Linked DNA regions of Cricetulus griseus. The protein of the gene in region 1 binds, or shares a complex with, the protein of each later gene. Links are inferred from orthologs where the notes say so. Each region holds a gene or a part of one and is shown on either strand. Other genes may lie near its edges. The genes, in order: Itpr1, Prkg1 and Cnn1.

Evidence for each region.
Region 2: Itpr1 (region 1) and Prkg1 share a complex: the UniProt entries of both Homo sapiens proteins name them as parts of the cGMP kinase signaling complex. The link is inferred for Cricetulus griseus from reciprocal best matches to the Homo sapiens genes ITPR1 and PRKG1.
Region 3: Itpr1 (region 1) and Cnn1 share a complex: the UniProt entries of both Homo sapiens proteins name them as parts of the cGMP kinase signaling complex. The link is inferred for Cricetulus griseus from reciprocal best matches to the Homo sapiens genes ITPR1 and CNN1.

What each region holds. Positions count from the first base shown.
Region 1 is NC_048601.1:36,109,013-36,112,662, forward strand, and holds part of Itpr1 (inositol 1,4,5-trisphosphate receptor type 1), read right to left. Parts: intron 3,649-3,650; coding exon 3,397-3,648; intron 2,900-3,396; coding exon 2,758-2,899; intron 2,184-2,757; coding exon 2,030-2,183; intron 1,008-2,029; coding exon 820-1,007; intron 1-819. UniProt on the Homo sapiens protein: Inositol 1,4,5-trisphosphate-gated calcium channel that, upon inositol 1,4,5-trisphosphate binding, mediates calcium release from the endoplasmic reticulum (ER).
Region 2 is NC_048596.1:30,845,835-30,849,484, forward strand, and holds part of Prkg1 (cGMP-dependent protein kinase 1), read left to right. Parts: intron 1-818; coding exon 819-958; intron 959-2,413; coding exon 2,414-2,503; intron 2,504-3,650. UniProt on the Homo sapiens protein: Serine/threonine protein kinase that acts as a key mediator of the nitric oxide (NO)/cGMP signaling pathway. GMP binding activates PRKG1, which phosphorylates serines and threonines on many cellular proteins.
Region 3 is NC_048597.1:134,990,295-134,994,618, reverse strand, and holds the start of Cnn1 (calponin-1), read right to left. Parts: upstream 2,806-4,324; 5' UTR 2,723-2,805; coding exon 2,660-2,722; intron 940-2,659; coding exon 818-939; intron 1-817. UniProt on the Homo sapiens protein: Thin filament-associated protein that is implicated in the regulation and modulation of smooth muscle contraction. It is capable of binding to actin, calmodulin and tropomyosin. The interaction of calponin with actin inhibits the actomyosin Mg-ATPase activity.

The DNA.
Region 1 (3,650 bases):
AACCATTATCCTTGCCCCTCCCCCACCTACGGCATTCTCCGAATCAGCCCACACCCTTCTTCTTTAAAATAATTAACTTTTTACACATGTATTAGTTTTTATCCACATGCTTGTCTGTGCACCACCTGCATGCCTGGTACTCATGGAGGCCTGAAGACAGCCATCCAGTTTCCCAGGAACTGGAGTCACAGATAGTTGTGAGCCACCATATAGTACTGGGAATGGAAGGCAGGTCTTCTAGAAAAGCATGTAAATGCCTTTAACCACTGTCATCTCTGCAGCTTCCAGTTGACTCGTTTTTATTTTTAAATAACTAAGCATTGATTTTTGGGATGGCGTGTGCCTATGCTCCCTGTCAAAACAGAGCTTTTTGGGACCAGAACTTTAGTGGGTTTTGTTCATTGCTTGCTTTCCAAGTGCTAAAAGGGACATGGATCTGGTGTCAATTAACATTCCTGCGTGGGTAAGTGGGTAGATGAAAATGGCAGACCATTGAGGGGGAGGAGGAGGGAGGGAGAGGAGGGCTCTGCAATGCGAATAGAACTCTGGAGAAGCACAGTGAATGAACAGCAAAGGCAATGGCTTGGACAGAGAAAGGGAGGCCGGCTGGGATGTAGAGCTAAGGTAACCGAAGGAAGCTCTGGGATGACAGAATAGGCAAAGCCATGATGGGAAGGGGTAGACAATGGCAACCAAGAATTAAAGGGAGTCAATTGTGAAATGATACACAGGGATGAGGTAAACATTTTGCCCCTGTTCCAGCAGAGAGAAGAGATATTAAGCAGAGATTCTATGAGTATCTTGTTCCCTGCACCATACCTGGAGGATTTCAATGATCTTTAACTTGGTGTCCATGACCATGATGTCCTCCTTCTCTGGCTCTGCCTGCTTCACGTTTCCTTCAGGGGCAGCAGCCATGGGAGTCATGGGCAAAAAGCCTCCTCCCCGAAGCACCACCTGGGTCATGAGCTCCCCAACTCCATGGATTGATCTCATCACGTTACTGCCTAGAAAGGGCCAAGACAGATCATGGTCATGACCTTCCCGGAGACAGTCTGAAGCATCTGATTAGAGGTATTGGTATTTTGAGGCAAACTATTTAACACATCCCTGTTCTGATACACTCTCTCGACCCAAGGAACCCAAGAGGTTAATAAGCATGACCAATTTAAGGCCTCTGAGAGCAGTGGGAAGAACTTGGTTTGACATCTCCAATGGGGCATGTTTATTTATTAATTCCAGCACCAAATTTGACTCAGCTCCAAGGATGTATGCTTGTGATTGTGCACACAATAAGAATGCAAGTTAGCAGGCACAAACGCTGCTGCTTCGAACAGAAGTCCTGAATACATTGCTTCACTTCTGAGGCTCAGTTTCTTGAGCCTATAAAAACATCCCTATGGCAGAACTCAATGCTATTATGTATGCAAAGCAACATCCCACAGGGACTTGACAGAGAGGAAGAATTGAGTCAAATACCTTTTGCATCCTAGTTATAGAAAACTAAGCATTGGTACATGGTGGTTATACTATGCATATTCTGACCCCCCAAATACAGGAAAAGATAAACACACGGTCATGGATTTTCCTATTCACAAAGTGAAAAGAAATACCAAGATCCAAGTGTGTGCCCTTTATTTCATCCTAGTATCGAGTATCATCATCAAGTGTCTCAGAAGCATCAGGAACAGATGGCAGGACTTGGGTTTTGGAGGGTTAAACACTCAAAGCACAGGGCAACTTTCAAATTATTCAATAAGACACATGGAAGGACTCAAGACAGATGTGAAGGAAAAAGTAAATTGCTGAGAATGACCAGAATGACCAACAGTGATGGGCATGGGAGTCAATGGAACCCGTTCCAGATTTTATTTCTATTGGTATGTTCCCAATGTTGAGAACGGACAAGGACACGATAGGATGTCACGTGATGAGGCATGGCATGAGTGAAACAGCATGGGCCGGGAGGGCATCTCTCAGTACAGACACTTCAGATACTCACTCTTCAGCTTCTCCTCATCATTGTTACCTTTATTCTCTTCTCCTTTGGCCATCTTGCTGATGGGAAAGATGGTGGTCACATGGACACAGTCTAATATTGCCAAGAGGATCTTGGTTAATCGGAGAAGGTCAGAAAAATTGTAGAAACCAAAGTATATGAGATTCCTGGCTAGGTTCACAACCTGTTGCATTTAAAAGAAAAGGAAATCGGTATTCAATGACCTTTGTCCTCTGTTTCACTCTGATGCTGACTAGCTAATCCTGTGAGATCATGCTCTTCTCTATGGTCAGAGAAAGCATACATCTGGCTATCTGTTTCTGGTTAAAGTTCATTTTGTTTTACATGATAGAAAACTAAGAAATGCAAGCTTACAAAACAACTCATTTGCTTTGATGACTAGTTCATAAGAAATGGGCCTCATCAATTGGATTCCTGACTTGCCAAGGGCATACCAAATCATAGCCAGTAAGAATACAGATAAGGACACTGCAGTTCTCTGGAACGTAATTCCTGGATGGATGGTGGTCCTGGAAATAGTTTAATATGAAAGCAACACAGTTTGTGTCCCTAAATGATGAGTCTACCTGACTGGCAACTGTTATATTTTTTCTGGAAAAAATCTGACCCAAATTCTTTTTGTGTTTCAAAACTAGAGCACTGCGACATAGTCACCAAGGATTAAAATATTTCCTACTTACTCCACGGAAAGATGGCCAGTGCTAACAAAACTTCAGAGACCACTCATCATGCCTTACCTCAAATGTAAGCTTATTTTTCTCCTTATCAGAGAAGGGGAATCTTTGACAGACCACATCTCTTAGATACTCCTCCACAAATTCCATCGTCTGAGCAAACCTCTCCTTAATTTCATCTTTGGAAGCCCCGCTGCTGTCATAGCTGAGAGAAGAGAGAGAGAAGGAAGGAGAATGTCAAACTCTTCCCAGCCAGACCCTTTCAGGCTGCTCAGCCTCCAAAGACAGCATCCCCCAACCTGGGCCCAACTTTACACCTCCTTCCTTAGCATGGTTGCTTACATATACAGCCACTCATCATGTTTACTGTCTGTCTGTCCCCACTAACATAGAGGTAGTTTTCTAGATTCTGCAGTAATATTCTTCAATGTTGGCACACAGTACACACTCAGATATTTCCAGAGGGAAAGGCCTAAATAAGAGACAGAAAAAACACAGCCCTGGCATCCTATTTCCTTGAGGAAGTAAACAATATTTGCTAGCTACACAATTCTATTTAAATCTGAAAGGAAAAAAAAGTTCTTTTTTTCCTATGATTTTACTAGGTCATGTATGTGGTTTATCTCCTGGTACACAAAACATTAGAGTCATCGGATTTTTAAGTGACATAAAATCTCTACAGGAAGCTGGACCCAGGCTTACTCATCAATGGCGATCTCGGAGGGAATTTCTGACCACAGACGGGCGTATTTCACAGGGGTCACCTGCTCCTGAGGATCACGGTCCACATGCATATGAAGCATGAGGCGGCAAAAGGATGCCCTGAGGTCATACGGTAGGTTCTCATCAGACATACAGCGAAGAATAAGATCAACATCCAGCTGGCCAGATATTTCATTGATAGCCAGGTATTGGCGGTCCAGACACATCCTTGCAAAGAGGTTAAGCTGATACCT
Region 2 (3,650 bases), on another chromosome or scaffold:
AACACACGCCTGCAGCCCATTTGAGATAAGACATTGGAGGGTCTCAGCCTCCTTCCTAGGCACAGGGAGCCATGTGGGCTGCAAGAGATGTAAGCTCACTATATTAGTCTACAGTGGATACAACTAAGGAGTAAGATTTTAAGATCAAAGGAGATTGATACCATAGAGCATGGTATCAAAAAAAGTGGTTTTTAAAAATCCAAAAAAGCACCTTGGTACATACATACATACATATATATATATATATATATATATATATATATATATATAATATAAACTGGAGGCAGGAAAAGATTGGAAAGTAAAGTGGATACTAACAGTTACGACTTATACATCTCCAGCTCCAGTAGGGACCAGGATCAATCACTAAACTTAACTCTAAAAGTGTTTGTGGATGAGGACTTTGAAGAGTATAAAGTCCCAGGAGATCATGTGATCACATCTTGCCATTAGCACATGAAATAGAATTTAAGAGGAAATTAGATGTTTTTTGATGAAGACTATGCATTATACTCACTCATTATATGAAATAAAATAAAACGTGAAATATATTTTTCCAATTCATATGGGCACAAAATTAACTTGTTTAATTAATAATTTAATTAATATGACCCAGCACAGTAAGACTAGGGGATGGTTATACATGGTGTTTGTAAACTCAGTCCCTCTAGCAAGGATATCATCACCCTGTGTGACTTGCGTGGTAGTTGGGATTCATTTATATCCTTTATGTATCTGCTCATTTGAGGACAATGGTGCAGTCTGGCATATTAAGTCTGTAGATTCTCGCTCATGTGCCGTTTCTATGTGTCTTTAAGGTCCAGTTGAAAAGTGAAGAATCCAAAACATTTGCGATGAAGATTCTCAAGAAACGCCACATTGTGGACACTAGACAGCAGGAGCATATCCGCTCGGAGAAGCAGATCATGCAGGGGGCCCATTCTGACTTCATAGTGAGGTAAAGGCACACCCCTAAGGATGGATGCACCAGCTCCAAAGGGCAGGTCAAGCGCAGCCCTTGCTCCCGCTGAGCTTACCCTTAATGTAGTGATTTCATGTTCCCAAGGAAGGCTGGGGAAAATTGTGTTTGGTTTTCTAAATATAAAAAGGTTTGACCCCATGTTTATTTTTAAAGAGAATCATATTCTCAAAAAAGGATATTTTTCTCAAAAGAGATGTCAACTCAACATTTCATTTTTGTCATAGCTCTGCAAACATCCTCATTGAACACAAGAGACAGAAAACAAAAGAAACAATTACCAAAATCAGTCTATTTAGTGTTAATTTTCTGAAGGATTATTTTTGTGTGTTTGTAGTGTGTGTGTGTGTGTGTTTATGTTCACATGTACTCATGAGCATGTGGGGGGGGTGTGCAGTTAAATGCACCATGTGTGTGGAAGTCAGAGATTGATACCTGTGACTTCTTCAGCCACACTGCACCTTGTTTTTTGAGACATGGTCTCTCACTGAACCTGGAGCTCATTGATTTGGCTGGGCTGACTGACCAGTGAGCTCAAGGTTCTGCCTGTCTCCGACCAGCCAACACTGGGCTTATAGATGGATATAGCTGTGCCCAAATTTCATGGGGTACTGAGGATCTGAACTCACAGCCTCATGTTTACCTGGCAGGTACTTTTACCATCTGAGTTATTCCCCTAACCCCAGTAGGTTTCTTTTATGAAATGGCAACTAATCTGTCTACCTTAATATTTTCATATTACTAATAAGGTGATAATGAAGCTCTTATATGCAAGAGAAATTTTATGGTCAATTTGCCAGTAATACAGAAAGTTAAGATATAAATTTAAGTTACTGTTTACAATCTATATTTATAAAATATGATATACTTTATATCTACATATTTTGTGCTTATGACCACTAAATTTTGCTCAAGGCCATGCTTGGAAAATCAGCAAAATAAGAATGATAGAACCTCCAGAAACTCTCATGTGCACATACCCATTAGGACTAGCCCAAGCCAGAAGCTTCTAGTGCTATAGTTTGTAAGTGTTAGGGGACACTGGCTTCTGGAAGACTTCAGTGCCTGTATCTCATCAAAAATACCAAAACTAGCAATCAAAACTCAAAACACTGCAACCTGAGTACTGGCTTTTATGAGAAGAACATTGCAAGTTATCTCTGTTATCTAGTTTGAAATGTTCAATACAATATTATAAACCCTGCAAGTTGAACCAGAACTCATTCCTTCCACCTCAGCTTCGTACTGCAAACATTCGATACGTGTGCTTAGTACCCTGGCTTAGCTATTAAGCGGCACGTATATGTGTTAAGACACCTTGTTGTAGTCCATAATTTTATATCAATATATCAACAAAATAACTCACCAAACTTAAAAAAATGTTTTAAAAGATAATAATGTTCATACTTTTGTTCTCTTGTTTACTGTTCACAGGCTGTACAGGACATTTAAAGACAGCAAATACTTGTATATGTTGATGGAAGCTTGCCTAGGTGGAGAGCTCTGGACTATTCTCAGGGATAGGTAGGAGATTTAAATCTTTTCTGTCATGTTTTGGAAAACAGAGTGGCCCATAATGGTCTACAAGAGGAATCCATCATCATCATCATCATCATCATCATCATCATCATCATCATAAATAAAATTATATTTACATTTTATGTATGTTTATAATTTCAAATGTAAACATGAGACAGCCAATAGCATATAGAATTTACTATAAGATATGTAAAACTCACCTTGTAACTAGTGGTAAGGGTTGAATCCACATTAAAAATGATCATTAGGAAATTATGTGATTATCAGAATGATCCAGCTCTACACCTCAAATTCCTCACTGTGTGATAACTTGGGGAGACCCAGAGCTGCATCGTAACTACAGTCTGTGTTGCCTGACACTTTAATTGTACCACTCAGTTTTCAGATAGCAACCCTATCTTTTATGGGGTAAATTAATCTTTAGGGGAGAAATCAATCCTCTTATTTGCCCCTCTTTATGTAAACAATTTTATTTGCCCTCCTGCCCTTCCTTAGGAGGTAAAATTTGCCTAGAGAGTACATATTTGTTTCTCTGAATTGTGAAAAGTTGTTTTCTTTATTTTTCTGTCATCTACATTTTTTTTGTTGTTTTAAAAAACAACTTTGTTTTCCTACAAATACTTTTTGGTTACTTCCTATAAAGGACCTGTGTTAGAGATCAATTCTAGAGCCTTGTACCTGCTAAACAAATAATCTATCACTGAGCTACATTCCCAAATATTGGCTTTTTGCAATAGGGCCTATTATGTAGCCCAAGCTGCCCTGAACTCTTGCTCCCCTTGCCTCTGCCTCCAGAGTGCTGGCATTGTAGGTGTGTGCCATTGTCTTTGCACTTTTGGAAAACTTCTTTTTCGTATTTGTTCCAACGGTGCCTTCAAGTTCTTCTCCATTGGATAATCACCACTACCACCCCCACCCCTGCAAAACTTAACTAGAGATAGCCCTGATGTCCCTAAGAGTCATAAAAATTTTAACTATCTGTTACTTTTTTAGATAACCCAGATCAAGTGGTTCTTTATAAATTCCTGACTAGGTTCTCCTTCCCAAATCTACCTGTTTAGTGCCTTTGTGTCTTCATATAGAGTATATATTCAGGCCTTTGATCCCAGTGGCCTTACTCATATATATGTGT
Region 3 (4,324 bases), on another chromosome or scaffold:
CCCACTGAGCCAATCATCAATCAGCCCGATGGGCTTTCTTCATGGCATGAATGTGATTATCTGGCTGGTTACTTGGTTACCTTTTCTTCGTGATGAAACCTATTACCTATTGCTGGGTGTGGAACCAGCCCAATTTCTCCCCCTGGGCTCCACATGGAGCCAGGTTCACTCCCCACACACCTAGAGCAAAGGCCTGTGTATATCAGGAGCTCTCTAAACACAGTATTAATGAGTGGTAAGTGAATGACTGTGGTGGATTGTCTGTGTAAGTGCTGAGGGTGGAACTCAGCCAGCCTCGCTCATGTATATTTTCTGCACTGAACTGTACTGTACCTCACAGCCTGTGCTGGGCATCCCAGGTGCGTGCCAAGCCATGGTGGGCTGCTCCTGTGAAGGTTTTCATCTTCCCCAGTGATGAGGGCAGTGGGAAGCCACATAAACTACATATGGGAAGTGGGAATTCTACATAAACTATTGTAACACCACCACAATGCCACTAAAACTGGAGATAAACAGCCACTGTTGCCCACTGAGATCCATAGACAGGCCTGCCCTGTAGCGTGTGCTAGCTAAGTAATGGCCTGGTAACACCTCAGGGCTTTGGGTACTGTCTTAAACCTAACTGACTCGGTCATCTCTGCCTGTGTAATGGGCACAAGTGAGTCTTCGAGGCCTTTGAAGGAATGTGGGTGGCATCAAGTATCAGGGTCTAACTACAGTTCCAGGTTTGGGATCATCAGGTGATGTTGAGGGCCAGTATGGAGCAGGTGGGGTGCTGGCTTCGGGGCGCGGTCTGCACCCTAAGAACCTCACTCACTCGCAAAGAATGATCCCATCTTTGAGGCCGTCCATGAAGTTGTTCCCGATTCGGCGACCTGTAACCCCCTCAATCCACTCTCTCAGCTCCTGCTCCCGCTGATGGTCATATTTCTGGGCCAGCTGAGATGGAGATGGAGGAATGAGGCACAGGTGATGAGGAAGCAGGCAAGAGAGAGGAGCTTTGGCCTTCTGGGGCCCATCTCAGCCCGGATAGGCCCAATCTCCTGCTTCATCCATCCCAACTAAGGCAATCCTGTCTTAGTGTCCACGGTAAGGGGGCAGGACTAGCGGGAGGCGGAGGGCCAGGATTGAGGTGGCACCTGCCCAGGGGGCCATTCCGGGCATTCTGAGGTTTGGCACCAATGAATAGACAAGAGGGGGCTGGAGAGCCTGATCCTTGAAGCTGGGGGGGGGGGGCGGCGCTTGGATCCTTGGTTTCCCCTCCAAGCCAAACTTGGGGCTTAGCTTCCCCTGACCCAGCCCCCCCTCCACTCTCCATTTGGAAGAGGAGATGCCTTAAACTGGGGGCGGGGATGAACCCTAAGAAGGAGCCCCTGGGTGCTGGTTTGCTGGGAGCCCCAGGACATCACACATAGAATCCCTGGTTAGAAATGGGGATTATTTTGTACCCTTCCTAATGCCTGCCTGAATGTGTTTCTTAAATCTGTCCTCAGCCCCACTTTGTCTCTCTCGTTGTCCCCCAACTCTGTGGTGCATTATCCTTTTCTCAGTCTGGGGTCCCCATCTCTGAAGACAATCCTGTCCAGCCAGCTCTGGGGCTCTTGGCTTTGTAGCTACCCCTCTGATCCGGTCTTCCCGGGTACGGGGTGGGATTCGACCGGCTCCCTTCTCCGCCTCTTAGCTCTTATCTCCCTCCTGGCTCGCCCGCTCTCCAACCTGTCTGCAAGACCCGCTTCACGATCTTTCAGCAATCCTGCTTGTTGGCCTCCCAGCCCCTGGTGGTAGTGAGATGGGGGGAAGGGGGATGCCTCACTTCTTCTGAATGGGGAGAGGAGGGGTGCACCCCCTTACCTGGCCCCAGCCCTGCCGCCCCCCTCCCCACCAGCCCGGCTTTATAAAGCAAACCGGCCCTTATATAGCGCGGGCCCAGGCTGCCCAAGGCCGCCTTATAAGGCGCGGCGGCTCTTCTGCGCCTCGGGCCGGCGCTGGGGGGAGGGGGCGACGCTGCCATCAGTCTCCCGCGGAGCACCCGCCCCCCACGCTTCCCCAATCCTGAACCCCTAGGATACCCCAACCTGATCCAGGTCCCAATCCCTGCTCCTTGCTCCCCTCAACTTCTGCTGTGGGACCCTGGAAAGGAAGAGCCTCAGTATTCCCTTCTGTCAAATGGGATTGCCTCTCCTAATCTGTGCAGTCCCCTGCCCCGGGAAATCGATCTATCCCGGTGTGGAGAGGGGTTTGGGTCCGCACTTGCCTCACCCGGGGCCCTAGCTCCTTGCTGTTCCTTTCCAAGCCTCAGTTTACCCATCCATGTCTCTCAGTGTCTTCTAGCTGTATGAACTGCAGGGTTGATTTTTTTTTTTTTTTTAAGGTAGGGGTCTGTCCCTTCCCCCTACATCCCTCCCAGGAACAAGAAAATTGACCAAGGACTCTGAGCAGGTGGGAATCTTTGCAGCACTCTGATTACCTCAATTTAAGGATAGTGGGGTTCCCTCATTTCACCCCTCAAGTAACCGAGGGCCCTGGGATGTTCCAAGGACAGAAAAAACGGCCCCTATTCCTTAACTTCCTTCTCTTCTCAGGTCTCAAGTCACCTGACACAGGTAGGAGGGCGCTCAGGGTCTGTCAGAGGCCAGGCTAGGCAGTCCCCCGGTCTTACCTTGTTCTTGACTTCAGCAGACAGGCCATAGGCAGGACCTCGGTTAAAATGTGCGGAAGACATGCTGGCCAGGGGGCTCTGGCAAAGCAGAGGTTCTGGTGACACTGACGAGGACAAGGCAGCTGAGCCTGCGTCTGCACCCTCTTCCCTCCTCACACGTTTTTGAAGCTCCAGAGGCCAGCCCCAGGCTCTTCCAAGCCTGTCCCATTGGCCACAGGGGCTTGCCAAGGGGCGTGGCACCACACACACACTTTGGCCACCCCCACCTCGTGATGTCAGGGCCTTGGTATTGGAAGCTGATTGTGTCATTGTTTCCACCTAGGGGGCTGTTTGCCTTATTCTGGGAGAGGGGCTTGCTCACACAGGCCACCCTCCTCTACCCTCCTCCCATGCCAACTGTCTATGTCCCATCTCTGAGTCTTCTTATCTCAAAGATGACCGGTCTCTATCCCTTTTCAATGCCAAGACAGGACCTGTGTCCACTTCACGTCCCGTTTCACCCACCCCCACCCCCACCCTGTAGTTCAGCGAGACAATCTGACTGATCTTCATACATCACCCTAAACACATAACCTTCTCCCTAGGTCTCTATTGCCATATCTACAGAAGGGCTAGTGATAGAGCTTGCCTCATTAGGATGTTGTAAAGATCAGAAAAAAAATGTCACCTCCAGGGTGCCCAGTGCAGTGCCTGGCACAAGGGAGAACCTCAGCCAAGCTTTGCTTCTGCTAACAATCTGGTACCCTGTTCCATCCCCTCCAGTCCCTCATGTGGACTTGGGGCAGCAAAAAGCCTAGTTCTAATTGGGTATGATGGCTCACACCTGTAGTCCCAGCACTTGAGAACCTGAGGCAAAAGGACTCCTGAGAGTGTGAAGCCAGCCTGGGCTACATAGTGAATTCCAGCACAGCCTGGGCTATAGAGTGAGACCCCATCTCTCTCCCCCACACATGAGTTAGTTTAAAAGGGGTGGGAGGAGGCTGGCAAGATGGACTGATGAGTTAAGATGTTTACTGACAAACTTGATGACCAGAGTTTGAACCCCAAGATTCACATAGTGGAACAAGAGAGCAAACTCCTGCAACTTATCCTCTGACCTCTATTATGTGCAAACACACACACACACACACACACACACACACACACACACACACACACACACACAAATGTTAAAAGGTAGAAGCTAAGACATAGGTCTATTAGTAGAATCCTTGCCTAACATGCACAAAAACCTGGGTTCAAGCCCTAGGACCACATAAACCAAGGCTGGTAATGCATGTGCATAATCCCAGCACCCAGGAGGTAAATACAGGATGTTCAGAAGTACAAGGATGACCTTGGCTACATACTGAGTTCAAGACCAGCCTGGGCAACTTGAAAAACAACAACAACAACAACAAAACAAACAAACAAAGATCCTAGACCTTCTCTCACTATTTATCCATTGGTCACCTGAGCCACCAAGGCCTGTGTTAGCTGGTCTTGGGCCATGAGTACTCCCCTGTCTCTAGCCAGCTCAGGCTGGTCTGGTTGGACACCTGTAAACATCCCTGTCTAGGACAGCTCTCATCTGGACCGTGGGGTTGAATGCTCCAACTGCATCATGTCAAGTGTAGGATAGTGACACTTGTATGACATCAATCTCTGTGCATTAATGATAATGAT